Linked DNA regions of Styela clava. The protein of the gene in region 2 interacts with the protein of the main gene of each other region in a biochemical or structural test. Links are inferred from orthologs where the notes say so. Each region holds a gene or a part of one and is shown on either strand. Other genes may lie near its edges.

What was found.
Region 1: the proteins of E3 ubiquitin-protein ligase MYLIP-like (region 2) and protein canopy homolog 1-like form a complex in vitro, tested with the Homo sapiens proteins (2 studies listed by BioGRID). The link is inferred for Styela clava from reciprocal best matches to the Homo sapiens genes MYLIP and CNPY2.

Annotation. Positions count from the first base shown.
Region 1 is NC_135252.1:241,611-251,685, reverse strand, and holds the start of protein canopy homolog 1-like, read left to right. Parts: upstream 1-5,953; 5' UTR 5,954-5,991; coding exon 5,992-6,109; intron 6,110-6,785; coding exon 6,786-6,901; intron 6,902-7,936; coding exon of another isoform or gene 7,937-8,131; intron 8,132-9,714; coding exon 9,715-9,824; intron 9,825-10,075. UniProt on the Homo sapiens protein: Positive regulator of neurite outgrowth by stabilizing myosin regulatory light chain (MRLC). It prevents MIR-mediated MRLC ubiquitination and its subsequent proteasomal degradation.
Region 2 is NC_135262.1:4,058,836-4,068,980, forward strand, and holds the start of E3 ubiquitin-protein ligase MYLIP-like, read right to left. Parts: upstream 4,480-10,145; 5' UTR 4,471-4,479; coding exon 4,421-4,470; intron 3,918-4,420; coding exon 3,725-3,917; intron 2,924-3,724; coding exon 2,733-2,923; intron 2,226-2,732; coding exon 2,034-2,225; intron 1,653-2,033; coding exon 1,413-1,652; intron 607-1,412; coding exon 472-606; intron 1-471. UniProt on the Homo sapiens protein: E3 ubiquitin-protein ligase that mediates ubiquitination and subsequent proteasomal degradation of myosin regulatory light chain (MRLC), LDLR, VLDLR and LRP8. Activity depends on E2 enzymes of the UBE2D family.

The DNA.
Region 1 (10,075 bases), on a different chromosome or scaffold from region 2:
ATATTTTGCATTGCAGAAAAATAGCTCACATAGTTAATAGCAGTCATGAAATATTTCTCACTATTGATTACAAAAGTATAATTGCATCCAAATCAACAGTATCTATATGACTATATAAAGGGTCGTTAAAATTAAATAATATGCAAAAATCATATTGATAACAAAATGTATTCTAATCAATTTTAATATATCTAAAACAAAATCTTCATAAATATTTTTTGTAAATTTACAATACATGAAAATATGTGAAACAAACTCAGGTTCTCCATTACATAATACACACATTTCATTTCCCAGAGTAATTTATAGTTAAAATCAGTATTTTTAATAAGTGAACGAATAGCTCGCAGAGCCATGTGATTCATATGGAGGACAGACCTATGATTGAGAGAGGCCGTGGTTCGCCATATATTTAGGCCTTCTTTTCGGCTTTCCTCTCCCCTTGGATAAATATGTAAATCCCCTGTTATATCAATTAATAAATACATAAATAACCGCACTCCTCTCGGCGACTGGTTCATATTCTGTTCTGTAGATACGTTTTCTGTCTAATAGATATGCATTCCCAATAAGCATATGCTCATAGTTGTATGGTTTCAGCGTACCATACTTCGAAACACAAAATCAAATATGTATTGAAGAATTAAAGACCTCAAGTCAAGTTAATACGGCCAATTTCGCACCCGACTCGGCTGAAGCAAGGGATTTTGGCAGCGAGCAACGCGTTTTCTTAATATGCAACGAACCATTTAGCTGGACGACGTAAAAATGCAGGGAACAATGCCATAATGAGCAAATCTTTGCAAGTTTCCACTCATTGTATATATGCTCATTGGGATGATGCTTTAAAAAAAGAATCATTATTTCTCTATCATGGAGTGCCCAAGTTTAATTAAAATCACAAGAGAATAGTATAGTTTCCTGGGGTGAGGGAAGGGGAAAACATATTTGATTTTGTGCGATGACCGATAAGAGGAAGAGAAGTCCCAGCATGGTACTTTAACAAAAAGCATTCACTCTATTGATGGCTGTATTTAAATTTGATGTAAATGTAATGTAGTATGCTATCCTAGACCTAATTTGCTGTTCTTTTGTCTTTGTCTAATTCCGCATGACAATAGAATTAGAACGGTGATCTAAATATTAATTCAGTCCATTGTTTCATATTGTATCCTGCTGAGGTGGCCTGTGGAGTTGAAATCGCACTCTGATGGGTGGTGGTTTGGTAGCCTTCGAAGTTCCACGATGGTGGTTTCAATCCAAAGGGTCTATAATCGTCCCCTCATTTTTCAATTCACCTTAAAAAAAAATATATGCTCCGAAACAGTAATATGTTCAAAACAGAGAGTTCGACTAATATGACGATAACAAATGTTGCATAAGTTTGGAACGAAATTCTGAGTTTGATTTCGATTTTTTGATGCTATTAGGTAGGGAATTCCAAGCTTTTGGTCCACATACTGGAATGGATTCTTGTGAGATACTTTTAGCAACATATGGAATAAAATTTTTTTCTTTATTTCTGCTGTTTGAATTTGGGTTCGCTCTGAACAATCTGTTCAGGCTGGATGGAAGTTGCCCATTGTAGCAAGTGAACATTATGCTGCATAGTTCAAATTTGGCTAAATCCTCAACTCGTAGTAGCTTATATTCTTTAAATAAGTCATCAACTTTTTCTCGATTTCCCCTATAGAAAACTATTCTAATAAAACGGTTGCATACACTTTGAATTTTTTTGATAATGGACGTTTGGCGATGAACATCAGTTGAGGCACAATATCGAATATGGCTTTCTATTAAACAAGATGTATTCAAATTGTTGGCTATTTTTGTAATAGCACCAAGAGACGACCTTGTTTTCGATAGAACCAGGTTTGTGTGCTGTTTCCAACACAATTTATCATCAATTATAACGCCCAAAAATCGCGTCTGGTTAATCCTTTCTATATTTATTCCATCCAGATTTTGTTGTGATGTTGGACACTTTTGCTTTGGCGCGCTAAATACCATATATTTAGTTTTCTCTACATTAATTGTGCTTGAATATTTTTCAAATCCGCTTTTGCTTTGGTCAAAAGTTCAGGCAAGTTTTTGCCTTGAAGATATGGCGTTGAGTCATCAGCAAACAGTATGATATCAGAGTGAAGATGAGAATTTGGAAAATTGTTAATAATGATTGAAAAACATAATGGAGCCAAAATAGAACCTTGTAATGTGCCTACAGTCAAATTACAGTATGTGCTGGATGCTACATCATTGTATATTACTACTTGTTTCTTTTCTGATAAATAGCTTTTGAACCAATTGTAGCTCTGACCTCTAACATCAATATGGTGCAATTTGGCTGTAATATGTCATGGTCAATACTATCAAATGCCTTGGATAGGTCCAAGAACATACTAAGAGTATACCCATTCTTATCAAATCCTTCTAAAATTTTACTGACAAGTAGAGATGTTGCATGACATGTCGAGTGATTATGGCGAAAACCAAATTGCTGGGAATAAAAGAAATTTTTTTGATCTAGGAAATTGTTGAGTCTTTTGTACATGATTTTTTCCAGTACTTTGGAGAATGCGGGAAGTAAGCTGATTGATCGGTAGTTCTCTACATTTTTCGCATTTCCTTTTTTAAACAATGGCATAACTTTGGATAATTTGAACTGGGTTATGTATTTACCAGATTGTAAGGAGCAGTTAAAATATGTGTGTTATATATTATATATATAAGGGCACAAATACACTTTCAGGGCATAATTCGAATTACTTTAAAGGGAATTCCATCTATTCCACACCTGGTTTTAGGCCGAAAAGATTTCATGATATTTTGGACTTCGAAATCCGATGTCGGGGCAAGAAACATGGAAGTTTTACTGGGCTGTCCCATATATTGATTAAAGTCATCCCTTGTGGTATGAGGAAACCGTTCAATCATTTTATTCCCAATTGTAGAAAAGTGTGAATTAAAATGATCTGCTATTTGACAAGATCAGAGGTTTCCTGTCCATTAACAGAAAATACTTTTGTTAAATTTGGTTTAGAGCGTCCAAGCAGATCGTTCATAGTACGCCAAGTCTTCTTAAGATCATTACGATGTCTACCTAGTAATGACTTATAGTAATTTTGTTTTTTCACAGTTATCAATTTCTCATATTTTTTCTTGCATTCTGAATATTTGTATTTAGACTGTTCTGATTTTACAGTAAGATAGTTTTTGTATAGTTTATGCTTTTTTTTCTGCATTTTTAAGAGTTCCTTGTCAAACCATTTATTAATATTTTTAGTATTTCTTTTCTTTAGAGGGAAACAAGTGTTGAAAGATTCAGTAAAATACTCATTGAAAATTCTGAAGTCTATATCGGGATCTGTTTTGCTGAACACGACAGAAAAGTCACTTTGTTCTAGCAGGAGTTTAAAATTATCTAAATTTGAGATATTATATTGCCTAAGCCCTAAAGTATCCGTTTTCTGTCTTGCAATGTTTTTTCTTCAGTGGAATGCAAACTAGAACTGGCAGATGGTCTGAAATAGGATCGACTATTATTGCACTAAGGGGTTTACAATCAAAGATATTAGCCCAAATGTGGTCAATGATTGTAGAGCTGCTTTGAGTGATTCGAGTTGGCTATGATACCACCGGATAAAAAGAAGTTGAGTTCATCAGTTCACAAAATTCATCTACAGTCTTGTTATTTGTTTCAAGAAGATTATAATTGAGGTCTCCCATGATAGTACTATTTTTCGATAAGGATTGGAGTGTTGATTCGAGAATACTGATAAATTGATTATTGCTTTGACTATCTGATAAGGGGGATTTGTAAATTGTTTCACAGGTCACAATTCTATCTTTCAAATAAATGTCTACAAAAATGGATTCAAAAATTCGGTCATTCATAACTGAAATGTCAGGTCTAGCCTTGAAAGTAATATTTTTTTGATGTATAGACCAACACCTCCACCCTTCAAAGTAACACGCGAATTTGATAAAAAAGTATAACCACCCAGGTTCATATGAGATCCTAGCTGGTTTGGTTTTAGCCATGTTTCATTGACTGCTATTAAATCTGGGCAAATTGTCATTGAGACTATAAGAGCTTCAAGTTTGGAAAAATTGCTTGGGTTGGCCAAGGAACTCATATTGATACACATTGTGATAAGTGGGTTCATGTCATCCTTGCATAGGGTATCTAAATTAGTGGCAGAAAGGTATTGGCAATCAGACATACAAATTTTTGTGGAATCGCTTATTTCATCATTATCAATATTCGGCGGTGAAGCCTCAGTAAAAAATTCGTTGAGAATTTCTGGCATAGCCTGGGTATGAAGGCATTTGGGCTGGATTTCATACTTGTCATTCTGATCCGTAAAAAGGGGGAGAAACATCCATAAGCATTGCATAATCGATAACACGAAATGCATGATGTCCAAAACTAGTTGAGGTGAAAGGTTATCTTTTACGTGCGAAAATGCGGAACTGTGTGTTGATTAGTGACGCACCACTACCGATAATTCTGTATTTACTAGCTTACCAACGTGTTCAATCCATGCGATGTGTCGTCTTGGCAGTGGCGGTAGCGTTCGTGATCAGGATGCTGACTTAGGTCGTGTCGGTATTCTGCGGAAGGGTGCTGCGGTTCGGTTCGACACGAAAATTATAAACGTGAACAGTGAATAATTCACCTTTCAGTCGGTGACCGGTAACCTTTAAATATCGTTAACTTCAGTTTAGACCTATTTATGTATTTAGTGCAGCAGTAGTGTGGCAAATCGTTAGGAATACCTGAATACGCTCGCGACTGCCAGATCGCACTTCCTGACCTCTGATTACCCTGTGTCTGTGTGCGGCGTTGCTGCTGTGCTGTGGGGGTGAATCCAATGTGGGGATAATTATGTGTAAGAGGATTGCCGCACTCCTCGCTGTTGTGGGAGCATTATTGCTGATTTTCTATTTTGTTATAAGTAGGGTGGTGTAGCCAGTCTGCGGACGATTTCATCCAAACCGCTATAAAACGAAAACCAATATTTCTGACCGGAACCCGTTAATTTTTTCACCGTAGGTGCATTGGCATTTATTCTACACGCTGAACTTCGAATTAACTTTCTACGACCAGGGGTTAAAGCTATACAAACCACCAAAGTACGACACTCTGAAGACGTATTTGCGACCGAACGACCAGTGTGCGATCACGGATTTCAAGCCTTGAACATCGTTTCTGCTGCGTCGAGACTAGGGCATACGCAGCCATGCGTGAAAAAATGGGCTTCTAATTGCATTTCTGACCGTCATATATTTTAAGAACAAGATTATTTCAAACAAAATTCTTCAAGTTATAAACAAAGCACCGCATCACAGCAATCAAACAGACAAAAACACGGTGGTCGCAAATTAGTTGACAAAGATATTATTGACGTATTGGAAATGCGCATCCCCCTACTCCCCCTCCTTTGAAGGTAGTAACGCGAAACTTTAAAGATGGTTAAAAGAAACACAACTCTACCCACCTGTCAAGTTTCATCTCTTTATCCCTTATATTTGTATGGATTTTCAAGCTTTTTTGAAGGAACAATGGGTAGTTTGCGACATGGTAAAATGGTCCGTTTTTTTTCTTCGGTCAGGTTTTCGGTCGTAACTTTTTTATTTGTGGCCGCATTTTAGTGTAATTTCGCAGAGCTACGAGGGATAAGGGGACGATACCGCGTGAGAAATATCGTCACGGTTCGTTAATTTTTTCGGCATTAATTTAATCGATGAAGTTGATGGTCGCAGATAGGTCATGGCCGCAAAGTGGGTAAGCCACCCTAGTTTAATTGCTATTAAATTTAAGCGACATTTTATTTTGAATATCTTATTCCTTTGAAAGTTTGACCAGCCTTATTTAAAGTACAAAAATGGGTTTTTGAAATAACGACATCAATTTGTTTTGCCTATGTTTCATTCATTCCTTTAACGATTTCAATGTTTTGTTTGACACTTTTAGTATAACAAGTTTTTATGCAACTTTTTTGTCGTCAAGCCATGATTCTTAGATGGACATATTCATTTCTGCATTTATCTTTGATTCAGTATATTGCAGTTTCAGGAAAAAAAGACTTGGATCTTTACTGTGGAGGTAGGCCTAACATTATCTGAAAACTGAATGTTTTTTATAAAATAATTTTTTTTATATGTGGTCATTTGTTTTTGAAGGATTTTAAATCAGCAATTATGCTCAGGTTGTGCTTAATCATTGGTAGACTATAATAAATATTCACTAGAAGGTAAAGGGTAAAATTTTAAATATTTCTGTATTTGGGAAATTTCTCTCAATTTTTCTGAACTTTTTTCACATTCTCTCTTTTTACTGTCATCGGGTCAATTTTAAAAATTTGATTTACTGTAAGCAAACAACAACAGTATTTTACATACTGACATAAATGATTCCAAGATTAATGATAATGAGATACAGTAAACAAATAGAATCTGAACTTTGTTTCTGGCGTTCGCTGCCTGCCATGTCAGTTTTTTATTATCAGCTATCTGCAAAAGTTTTATTAACCTCGTTTGAAAATATATTCTTCACCTAACATGTTGGCATTGGCAGTACAAATTTGATAAAAATGACTCACTCTTGAAACAAATTTAAATCTTCCCAGTATCTATTCGGGTATGATACATCATGGCTGGTAAATAAATCAAATTTTGTTGTTTAGTATTCTTATCCTAGTCGAACATTTGACTGAGACGAATTATCAATTCACCTGGTTCCTCACTCAATTTGATTTTTGAAACCTTTTATTTTTGAGCAGCATGTAAAGCCATTGTCAACGAAGTTGAATACATTGTGAACAAGGTTGACCCAAAGAAAACAATTGACGTTGGAACTTTTAGACTTGATCCAAATGGAAAACAAAAGTCATCAAAGGTGACGTTATATCATTTTAATATCATTTATATATAAATATGATGCATAATTGTTCATAATGGAATTATTGAAGAACTTGAGACATTTTGTTTCCTGGTCAGAATTTATTTTTTGAGAAACAATTAAAACTAGAGCTAGTTCAATACCGGTGTAATCTTCCAATTAACATTTTCCAAATTGACGGATGAGAACAGAACAGGCCTAAGTCACAATTTTGAGTTTTGGGAAAAACGCAAAAAACATTTGGAATTTTTTTATTTTTGAATTTCTAGATTTTCACACTTAGTAAAGACCTGAGCTCTGGTTATTTTAATGTGGATGTGAATATCTTTGTAATCAATATTTTTTGGCACTTCAGCTTCAATTCCTTCCTGCTTTGTTAACCCCATAATGGACTTTGGCCCATTCTTCTGAATTTTTTTGTATGGGATGCAAGGCAAAACAAGGTGACTTAGGCCTAAGTTGCACTGAACAAATTTTTAGGGATGTAAGTTTCAGACATTTTATTTCTGATGTTTATGCCCATCCTATTGGAACTTGGGACTATCTTTTTTCTGTATTTTGGGGTTTTGAGCCATGCTCTACAAGGTGGTGGTCTTAAAATTCTGAATTTCATAATATTAAAAGTTTTAGCTGGACTTAGGCCCATTCTGTTCTTAACTTCTATAGTTCTAAGTCCAGCTAAAATTTTTAGTATTGAGAAATTCAGAATTTCAAGACTACCACCTTGTAGTAGAGCATGGCTCAAAACCCCAAAATATTGAAAAAAGTGAATTTTGCAAAAATGTGACTTAGGCCCCTTCTGTTCTCATCCAACGAAATATCGAATGTTAGACTGTGTATTTTGAATCTGTATGTCATAAATTTGTTTTAAATTGAAATATGCTTAAAATGCAACTGTATGAATACAACCAAATCTTGATTTATGAGAAATGTGCTTATGTAGTTGTTGACAAATTTAGCCATAAATGTTAACGGAAACTCGATTGATCATTATCTCAATTAATAAGATCCTTGAATTAATAAAAACAAAAGGTTTCATATGCCCGATCTGAAATACACTTAACTGAGTTATTGGAAGATGTATGTTCAAAAATGAATGGCTATGCAGAATCCAAATCTGACTCAGGAAAACGAGAATATGTGAGGACAAGTTCTCGGGATGGGGAGGCAATTGCGTTGAACAACATTTCAATTAGTGGCGACATCTCCAAAAAATTGAAATATGCTGTAAGGAAGTAGAATGTGTGATGCATGGCTCTCTTCATCATACTAATTTGTTGTAGTTGATTTTACTTAATCCTTTGATTGGAATCCTGAAGATATATTTTTGGTCAACTATCTCGAATGATGTCATATGCCCTGTGTATGGAACCTAGCTAAGTTTATCACAGTCTGTTTCATTCTTTTAATCAGCTTATTACCTCCACCTTTTAGTTTGTCATACATACATTATCTCCTTCATTTGTCATATAATTGGGAAGGAGAGTTTGGAATTTTTCAGGCCATTTGTGCTAAAAGAAAAAACATTTAGTTCAAACTCACCAGGGGCGCCATTCGCCGAACTTCTTTATCGTTTAACGTGTTAGTAAAGCACCCACTTTCTCGTAAAAGGCAAAAATGGTCTTCTCGAAGTATCGTTAATATTCGAGAGAATTTTTTGCTCACCAAAACAGACGTCTCGTAAAGTGCCTTCTTCTCTCATTTTACTGAGAATCTGTATTCACCCAAGTTCTTTAACGCGCCGGAGTGCTCGCAAACTGACTAGGGGAAAATTTTACTCGTTAACAGTAGTTTGGCCAGTTTCTAGCATGAATTCAGGTTAAAATGTATGTGTGTTTATTTGTAACAGTATATACATAATAATTAAACGGTACAACTAAGACGGGATACATGTTCAATACCTTACTGGCCTAAGACAAGTATGTGCGACATGCACCCCAACAAATGCCGTGGTGTTTGCATACAAAAATTGGTATGAAAATTCCCTAAATGCCTAATTTAGGTAAGAGTGACTGTAGTCTAGTAGCTGTGGACCCACCAATATATGCCAACTAACACTGTACCAACATCAAATATGGGATTACATATTCATCTATTTTGTTGTCTGTTACAGAAGTAGTTTAACAGTATGTATCTCAGAATTTATTTCATTCATCCATAGATTACTGCAATATTCCCCAAACTTTAAGTCACAGGCTGCAAAATGTAAAACAGACCGTTTCGAGAGAACTTGCGTGACTGGGCGTAAGGTTTTTACAAAATGTTTCGTGAATCGCACTTAACGATATGTAGTAACTGTGTTTTTGAGAGACAAGGTTACGTGCTCGTAAATGCGGCTTTTTACGAAGTTTGGCCAATGGGGCCCTTGATCTTATCAATTAAAGTGATCAGTCAATCAGTCATACATTGATTTCCTGGCTAGTTGTACTAAAAGAAAACAAAAACATTCAGTTAAACTCACCCGGTCTTATCAATCAAAGTGTTTGTAATATCTGATCATTGTCACTTGTCAATCAATTCCATTATTGGGATTTCTGTGTTGCACTGTGTAGACAAAAATAATTTATGTGTTTATCAGCTTGACTTGATCAGCATGTTTAGCTAATTCTGTTTTTGTTCTTTTTCTCTCACCCGTATATACAAAAACAACACACACCACATTGATGCAAAAATACAACACTATACATATATACACAAATGTACAAAATTGCATATACATTTCTGTGCTGATAAAGATAATCCTATATTTTACACTTCTAAAAACAAAGCTAATATAAAACATTCACATGACAAAATACAAAAAAAAACAGGTTTCATATGCTAGATCTGAAGGTCACCTAACAGAGGTTTTGGAATCTGTCTGCACAGAACTTTCAAGTGATTATGTGAGAAATAAAGATAAAGAAACTGGAAGAATGAGGTGATACTGAAAATAAATAGCAATCAGATGAATATTGAAAATATGAATTCTATATACCAGGGATGGCGAACCACTGACCCGCGGGTCACAAAGTGACCCACCGCTTTTTATTGTGACCCGCAAAGGCACGAATAAAATTGAAAAAAAAAAATGCTAAAATATCAGTGATAAAAATTTATAAAGCTGGCCTTAAATTAGTCTAACTATAACTAAACTATTATAATGTACCGTTGGGTAGTCAGGGCTGCGAT
Region 2 (10,145 bases):
GTCCATCGTCAATTCCCTTTTTTCCAATTCCAAATTCCCTTTTTTCAATATTCAACAAAATGAGAAGATATCTTTGTTTTTTGAATAGACAATTTAGGAGACTTTGCCATTCATCATGGTTTTACTCAATCTCAGAATCTTTTTGTTTGGTATTATACTAAATATAGAACATTAGCTTGACTGGAATTTTACTTTTGAATTGTTATAAATATTTCAGCGCTCCAGAAGAATGTGTAACGATATGGAGCCAATGGAGGTAACTAATTTTGTTCGCCTACTTTACATCAAGTTGTGTAAAGGGACGGAAGTGTATGGTAGGGGGTATATTCACTTGGTTAACACAAACTGCCCACAAACTCCTGTTAGAACTAAAATAAGGAAAATCGAAATAAAACTATGGCATAACCTGGTGCACACGCCACACACTATGGGAATACCAACATTTCTACTGTCATTAGGGCTTTTTCTTACCTATATAAAGCGTTACTTGATTTTTCTGAGCTCATTCGAAAAGTCAGAGTACTTGTAGATCCATCGTCCAGAACAGTGTCAATGTCAATCATTTTTCCTGTGTGCGTTGCAAGCTGAACGGCAGTGAATGGTATTCTAAAGAAAAATAAGGAATTTATTAAAACTTTGTTGAACTAAAGGTAATGGTAGATAAGTTAAATCCAAGTTTTTATGAGGAATTCAATTACAAAGAATTCCAAAGCAAAAGTAGAATATATGAAACTTTGTTAAATTAGAGTTAACAAGACCCGAGAAGTCAAAGGTTAAATTCAGTAAATGGTTTTTGACGGTATCGCATCGCTAACTCAAGAATCTTATTGATTTAAGAGTCTTGCTCACTAACACAAATATATAATTCAATTATCAAATTATATATATATATCTGGGGATGTCTGACCTTGGTCAATGAAACGTTACAGAAATACATTTGTGTTAGTGTGCTTTGTGATAGACTCTTTATCACTTAGGATAGTTATCTTCACTCGTGCTGCGTGTGTTTTTCATATCATATACATATGTTTCACCAGCTTTGTTAAATTAGAGGAAACAGTGAACAGCCAGGTCAGAGAAATCATAAGTTAAATTCAGTTTCAAGGACAACCGTGATTAATTAAACTAGTCATGGATGACTAACAAAATCTGCGAATGATAAGTCCTTATTGGTTATGAGTTCCTGATTTTTATACCTTCCGCACATATATATATATATATATATATGAATTTGTAGAAAGTAGGAATAAATAATCACTGACTCAAAAAAAAATCCAATGAATGCATATATTGAGTACCGGAATAAGAAGATATTCAATGATTTATAAAAATTCATTTGATTATGGTAAGTTTCCAATTCATCCTTTCAAATCATCGTTTTCTAACGGTATAAATTCAAAAAATTTTCTCACCTTCTAATTTCTTCCGATTTTTCTTCTACAATTTCAAGACCAAATGGACCAATTCTCATCAAAACATTGGTTGTGTCTGCAGGAGAGAGATTTGGCATATGAGGGTGGGAGTGCGGTACTTCAATTTTACCATTGAAAACCTCTGTCCCATAACTTGGCAAATCTGCTGCCTCTTTCAAGAAAAAGTACATGGCTCGAGATTGTGTTTGTCCTTCTAATGATTTGTGAAAATCAGCAATTCTGAAAAATAAATATTTCTTTACTTAAACTACCAATTCCATAACAAAATTAATATTGTTGAAAAAGGGCAAACAGAAATTATGTTATGAAATTTAACAATATTTTTAGGTACAGTATTGTGAAAGTTAGGCCAGTAGCCACACTCATCACAACACTCGAAATACTGTTTAATCAATGATCTCAAACTCGCAAAAATTGAGCAGGTAATTCAAACTGAATATATCTTTTAATTAGTACATTTGTAATATTCTAATCTGTGAATAATACACCAATCATAATGTTTTTTCAATGATTACCATCTTAGCTAGGATTCAATCAAATGGGCTAGTTCAGTTTAATATAGCAAGAAATATAGTGTCTTCAAATCTGCTAGATACTAACCCAGTAATATCTTCATCTGTCAAAACTTTGTCCCCGAACTTCAAACTTTTATAGATATTCGTTGAATCCATGGCAGAACAATCCCCATGTTCAACTTGTGCAAGGTACGCCGCAAGCTGAGGGATTTTGTTTTGCGGAACTGTTAACTTCCCGTCTATGACGTCTTGGCGAAGTTGATAATAGAAGATTTGTCTGAAATAGTTTCATTTTTTTCATTAGTTGACGAATTTTATAAATTTGTGTATAGAATTAGATAGTTCGCATTAGTGTATTTGGAATCCTGAATCCTTTTATAAATTCATGTAAGATATGATATAAAAACATTTACACTAATGGTTACTTTTTAACTTTTGAATATTAGCATGTTTGGCATTCCACAAAACTTTTTTAGTTGATTTTTATATTGAATCATGTTTAGGAAAATGAATGAACCAAACAACAGTATGTTTAAAACAGCTGTGAGTGATATGTTCCAAATGAAATAATAATTCAAAATATTCAATATGAAGAAATGCATTTGAATACCGTAATTGGATGTTTTGAACAACTATGCTTTGCCAATTAATCATTTGATAAATTGATGGAAATAAATTTGTCACTTGAAAACTAGAACCAACAGAGAAAAGAGGACAAAATCGTAATTTTGGTTTGGTGTCGAATACTTGATAAATTGATATAAAACAAAAAAAATCCACAAACCTGGTAGATTCCTGCAGTAACTGATGAGGTTGAATGTAGTATTTCACTCGCAATCTTAGTCGATATGGTGGTTGACCAGATATTTGACCTATGACCCTATTGCGGAGATTCATCCAGAAAGGTTCACGCTTGACTGGACATACTTGAAGACCAAAGTAATCTTTTTCGACGGTGCCGATCAAATCGCAGACCTTTGAAATTAATATGCATAATTTATTACAAGAGTGCTTGCTGTTCATCATATGGGATTAAAATTCAAAAGCAAAAAAATCAAAGAGAAGTAATAAAAAAATGACTGTCAATATCTTGCTTATTACAGAAGATTACAGTCATCTTTTCCTTTTAGAATCAAATGTTTTTATGAACTTAATATAAAATTCTCCATCTTTTTAATGAGTTGCCATTTTGTACTTTTAAGCCAAACAAATTATTCAAATAGAAGTAGGCTACTAATAAAATATTACTATACTATATTATATTATACTAATACTATATTAATAATAATATAGTATAAAATACTACTATTTTGGCAATAATTGGGTATAAAAATTCCAAATTTTCAAATACTAGATTTCAAAGAAAGCAAAAATTGGAGAAAACATTTGAAAGATTCTGCTTCTGAAGTTCTACACTTTATTATATCTAGGTAAATATGATAATTTATGAAATATTAATGTAACTAAAAAAAGGCTGTATGACACAGAAAGAAACTCTTGAAACACACGTTTAGTTCAAATCAAACCTACTCAATTTTCAACTGAGCAGGGATATTGTGTTTGCGAGAGACGATTTTTTATTTAAAAAAAAATTGGGTTGTATTTTCAATTTCCATTTTTGTTTAGCGTTACTTAAGCACTCACAGCATTCAATATCACATTTGTGTTCAGCGGTATTCAAGCAGTCACGGCATTTACTTCGCGAGACCCCTTTTTTTCTATTGGTATAATCAAGTTTATTTCAAAAGTTAGTTACAAAATAATCAAGTACCGTACCTTCTCTAAAATATCTTGTCCAATTGCATGTCTGTCGACATCAACTTCCAGAACAACAGGTCGAGTGTCAGGTTTTGACACATAGCACAGTATCTGACCAGATTGCCAATTGTATAAATCTAATTGAAGACTCATGTTTGCACCACTTGTGCAAGTTTTTTTCGATAAAAATTCTTTAATAAGTAAGTTTTGTCTGAAAAATAATCAGTGTTGAATTGACTTAATATAATATTTGTAACTAATATAGTGACAATGAAGTCGCTACATTAACTACATACTTTCTTGACAATTCCCTCGCATTTAACTACAGAAAATCGCAAATTCGCATTCATACGGTAGGCTACCTTTCACTGTTTCACGTCACTCTATTCTGGTATACTATATTTAATGATATTCCTTCATCCTTTTGTCTGTCTAAGTTACAATACCACAAATATTTCAACCCTTTATTCAAGGTGTATTTATCTTAGACCGTTGCCAAATTTCGCGCACATGTTGCAACAAAAGACCTCGCGACTGACTTGCTGCAGCGCTGAACCGACGCGGTCACAGGAAATTGGTAATTTGACACGCTTACCAGCCCACAGTTTTACAGAATAGTCTTTATTTCAACATCACTATCCATTTAAGCTTAGCTAGTAATATTACAGCCTAAAGCGCACTTTTTGATACTTTTTTCAAGTAACGATCACTAACCGAAGAGCGAGGGATGACCGCCACCGACCTTCCGAGGGAAACATTTTCATCTACCGAATCGCGGAGCGTCAGCTGGTTTTGTTTGGCTGTGAAATATTCTCGCATTGTGATTGGTCAATCGTGTACTGTGACGTAACATTACTTGCGAAACATATCGATATGACCGAGGGTTACCAATTTTGTGAACGATAGTAACCTCTCTCGTTTGGGTTACAAGGATTCAGTGTATGAAAGCAACCTTCGCGTTGTTAATATTTAAACCTGTATATTCCGTCGTCATTTCGACGTTTTTATTAATTCTTTAATATTAAATAAACATGGCATTACCTGTTGTTTGCTAGATCTGAAGTACCGCAAAATGGCGACCAAAAACGCTGTATTAAACAGTAACGCAATTGTGAGCAAAATCGAAATTTGTTTATGAAAGCAATTTGTGAACATTATTCGGTAAATTTACATTCAATAATGCGTCAAATTATGAATTCGAAACTAAATTGAGTTTAAGCATTTTTTTTGAGCTTCAAATTCAACCAAATCGCTTGCCCTGAACACCAGTATTCTTAACCACACGCCAAAATAATAAATTTTTTTTATCATACTTCCTTCATAACATGCAACCAAAATCAAATTTGTTTAGAACGGGTTTCTGCGTTAAGTTTGAAATGCGACACCCAAATTTGCAGGCAATATAGCGAACAAATTTGTTATGCCGGCAATTACATGCCATCAAAAGTTATTAAAGCAATATAAACGATTGCGCCATTCCAGTTTTCGGCGTTATTTTAGGGGAAGCGAGTTCGTGCAAAACCCGTTTGGAATAGTGATAGGCTACTCTATGGTACAAATCGCCAGTTCCGCAAAGACGCTGCTTTATTAGCGGTTTTCCACTCGATTTATTTTGCTCACACAATTATCAGGTAAGATTTTCTTTCGATGTACTCTTTGAAAAGGTTTGGTGATGAAAATTGGTTATTTGTATAATCTTTTTAGAGTCCCATTTAACCTAAAGTCAGAAAATGTTTGCATAAAATAATATTCTCTGCCGAATGGCCAACCGTAGCCTCTCAACTCAATAATCATCGATTAAACACGATGAATGGACAATAATCCCGGAAGTGACGATATACCTGACCTGAATTGTTCATCACACATCAATGCAATACGGATAGTTGCATATGGTCCATGTTTCACTACAGTTTTATTGTATATAATGATGAAATAATAGTATAAGGCACATAGGTATTCCAATAAACATTCATCCAGTACTCATATATTGCGCATTATTTATAAGCGTACACTGCAATTTTGCACAAGTTTCTAGTATCGGTATGTATGATGCGATGGAAGGCTAATGTACACGAAAATCTTCCTTCAAATTTTTCTTCAATCATTTTTTTTAATTCTTGATATTCGTGTTTGGGCAAAAATATGTGAAATTTAAATGATAGTACTAAAAATGATTGACAGGGATATTCCATCATTGCAATATTCGTATGACGGTGGTCAAGCATGAAATATAACAAAATAATGAGGCAATAAAAAACACACTTATGTGCGAAAACGTACCGTAAAAAGCTTGCTCTCGATTAAAATCGATTATACAAGAAATATAAGACACTAATACTGATACGGCGAACATATTTACTCGAAGTTGTCGTTCTTGATTCCGCCCACGAAACACGTCTGCACCTCGTCAACTTGGCTTTCGTCGATTAACCATCAAATAAACAACAAATCAATTTTCTCTAAATCGGAAATTTAAATTCTATTTAATTCAAGAGTCTTGATGCACACTTACACAAATATATTTCTGTAACTTTTCGTCTGACCAAGGTCAGACTTTTTCAGACAAGCAGTTTACAACTATGACAAGAAACGCAATTGCATGCACATAAAAAATGGTATCAAAATTTCGGTTTTAGAGTTCTGGCACTGTTCCAATCTTAGTTATTTCTTTCTAACCCAAATTTTGATGCCATTATTTATGTGCATGCAATTGCGTTTCTTGTCATAGTTGTAAAATGCTTGTCTGTAGAAGTCTGACCTTGGTCAGACGAAACGTTACAGAAATATATTTGTGTAAGTGTGCAGCAAGACTCTTGAATTGAATAGAATAGTCATTTACACTCTTGCTATATAGCACCCTTGCGTAATACGCATACGGATTCATCAGCACAAAGCCATAGAGCAAGGAAAGGTAGTTAGTTTCACGTAACCCCAACTGTTAGTTACGGAAATTCAAAACAAGGAAAAACATGTCAAACTTGTGTTGCGGCGCAATGGGACATTGATTTCGACTTGTAAATAATCAATTTACACGAAGCAATATTTAAATTACTCAATCGACGAGGATATGTGTTAATAGAAAACACCCTCTATTGAACTTCACTGCGGAAGTTTAATTTTATTATATTTTTGCATTGAATAGATGATTTTACAACGAAATATTCTAATACACAAGTACATTGAGGAGACGAAAATGATTATTATTACATTACATGGTTGGTCGGTGTCCGGTCTTCGTATTGGGGAAACACAATTTAAAATTGGCCTTATATCACAGGTATATGTGTGAAAATGGGTTGAAAAAAATCTTCTTTCATTTCGGATAATTTAATCAACTCTGGTACGAAATAAAAACATTATTTAAGCGTAAACAAACACTGAGCACAATTAATGGGTGCTGTTGTTTTCAAATAAATTTATTTCGGTGTATTGGAAAAACTTGTTCTTAGTGTATTTATTGAAACATGTAGGCTAGCCATCGCGTTTTATTTTTCTTCTTTATGAAAAATTACATCAGAAAGTGCTATTGCAACTTTCATATACATTGAAAGATAAACAGGAAATTCTATTCGATCTTATCTCGACAATTCACAACCTATGAAGGTTAAATTTTAATAAGTCAACGAGGGAACGCAAGCAAGGTTTAATAAATAATATATTTCAATCAATCGCCTTTACTAGGCATAAGTGGATGAATCTCTATTTTTCTCAGTATCAGTACCGTAGGTCTTAACATTTACCGTAATATAAAAGCATATTAGGTCCCAGAAACAGGCGAACATGCGACTGGTAACCCAGATGAACATTCAGAACATGTAATGACAATCGTAGACTAACAGATTGCCATACACCAATATGTAGGGTCCATAAAGTCTGAAATAATATTTTAAAATTGCAAAGGGAATTTATCGATATCATATGCCACCACAAATGTAATGAATAAAGTATATATACCAGAACAATTACTGATTAAAAACCAACAAACCTGGTTAAGATATATTGAAAACTGACTTCAAAACAGAATTGAAATTGCAAGGGGACTTTATGGACACCTTGCACTAAATGTATAATTAAACTATAAATTCCAAACAGAGCCCCTGTGGCACTACCGCCTTTAGTTGGCCGCACAAATAGAAAATATTTACCGCTTGTCAAACAAAATAAAATGCTTCGTAACACAACAAAGCCACAAACTCACTCGCATTGTAAATATTTTGTTCGTTTTCCACGATGTGCTGAGAGTGACGTCACAGACCACAGAAAAAATATTGTTATTTGCGAAAAGTTTCATGTTCATAATATTATGCAAACTCAAAAGCGTTTGAAAAATTTTGCAATTTCGTTAAACACGCTGACCCACAAAATCCATATTCTTGAACGTTCTTCAATTAACTGGTCAAACGATCTGAACCCGTTACCGGTACCGAGCAAGAGGTAATATGGCTCGTCATATCACTATGTCGAAATAATATATTTCCTCTCAAATTATGAACGTGGAACTCTTGCCTTGTGTCTACTTTTGGAAATATTGAATCCGCATATGTTATATATTAGAAATTCTACCACAAATATTTCTAGCATTCCCAAACTCCAAAATATCCTCATATATATATGTGACAGCGACAGCAGCACGTCTGCTCCAAACGACAGTTTGCTAACAACAAAAAAACAGAAAAACAATTTTGCAGATTTCACACTGTCGAGACAAATGAGTCAGTACATGCTTCAATGATTTTCTTTGTTTCATCACAAACAACGATCTCCCTCATTCAGAAATCGAGAGGTTATATATTATCCCATGCCGAATGTGAGAGAGTGATAAATCGCGCCCTGTTACTGCGATTCACCCTTGGTCGATTATGGTGCTAGACAACGCACTGTTAAATTTGATACTTTGCCGTGATCCCCTTTACAGCGATCAGCTGGTAATTTCGTCGTCGTCGTAACTTTGAAGTACTTTTTCGCTTCGGGGGATTTAGCAATTAGCGAAATCGTATTTTGTAATCTACGTTGGTGATTTAATCCAATTTGCGGATTTCTGAACTTCAAAAACTGCACGATCATGAAATTTTGGAATAAAAGTGTCAAAACAAATTAGACAATTTCATTTAGTATCAAAATACTCAACTTCAAATTTTAACGACCTTGGTAAAAATTGTTATTCCTAATAATACTAAAAGAGCGATTTATCATTTCGTCAATCAAAATGTATTGCGGTGTACTAGGATTTTTTATATTGGGCTCTATGTTCTTTCTCTTTGTCTATTTCATTTTTCCTACTAATTCTCACACTTAATAATACACCCCACTTCCTACAGCACTACTTCTCCTTTGAATGTAGTCATCGATATTTGGTATCAGTAGGAATAACGTAACAAGCACTAGATTTTTCTGGTAACGGGGTACACGGAGCGGGAATCAGATAATTTAATTATTCGTTTTCTTCTGATACTGACAACGTATTTTTCGGGGGAAACATTATTCTTCTAACCAAAGTCATTGAGCAGCAAAAACAGAATAATATTCGTTCGTCATCCGTGGACATTATGTCAAATAAGCCCAAAGCCCAAAGTGGCTTCTACGGATGAGGCCATTCGAATGACGTTTGGGACCATACAACAATCCATGACCGACATTATCTATTGCGAGGCCGTGTGCGGAATGAAGTGCGCCGGACCTACTCTGGCTAGCAATAATAAATGAAAAATTATTTCGTCTTTATATTTTATAGGTACAAAAACACGATTACAGTGACTCACTTTGCGAGCTTGTGCGGGGCTAAAACATTCGGTATATAAAAAAATGTTATAATTGATATTTGTTAAATTTACTATTCTTCCTCTAAAATTAGCGCGGGGCCTCCAATGTAAGTGCGGGCCCACCGTGGTCGCCGCGCTGGCCTGTAATAATTTCTACATCTAACTTATAAAGCATTATAACCCACTCACTCATCCCATTCCTATTAGTTAATCACCTACAGTTTTTCATGATTACAAACAAATTTGACCTACTGTAACGAACTTCTGCATAACATTCTTGACCATTCATTCTGTATTTTTCTGAACGGTCCCTAACGGATCGCGCCTTTGGCTATTTGGCAGCGCAAAAAAAAAGCGCAAATGCGAGGTCTTCACGTTGTCAAATCTGTAGTATAGCGTTACACATGAAACACAAACAATTAGAAAACACGTTTCCTTACGTGTAATAACTCAAATTACTGTTAGAAATGCTCAACAATATCACCCACATGTCACATATTGATGTATGCTACTTCCGAGACACAAGTTAAAGTTTCCATTACTTTAAAATCAAACTCTTTATGTCAAAGTTTTCGATAGTACACGCCTCCAGGCATAGAGTGTAGTAAACAAATCCATCGATGAATTTTGATTGATTTTTGCAGTTTGCTGGAGTTCGTGTCATTCCAGTATAAATTCAC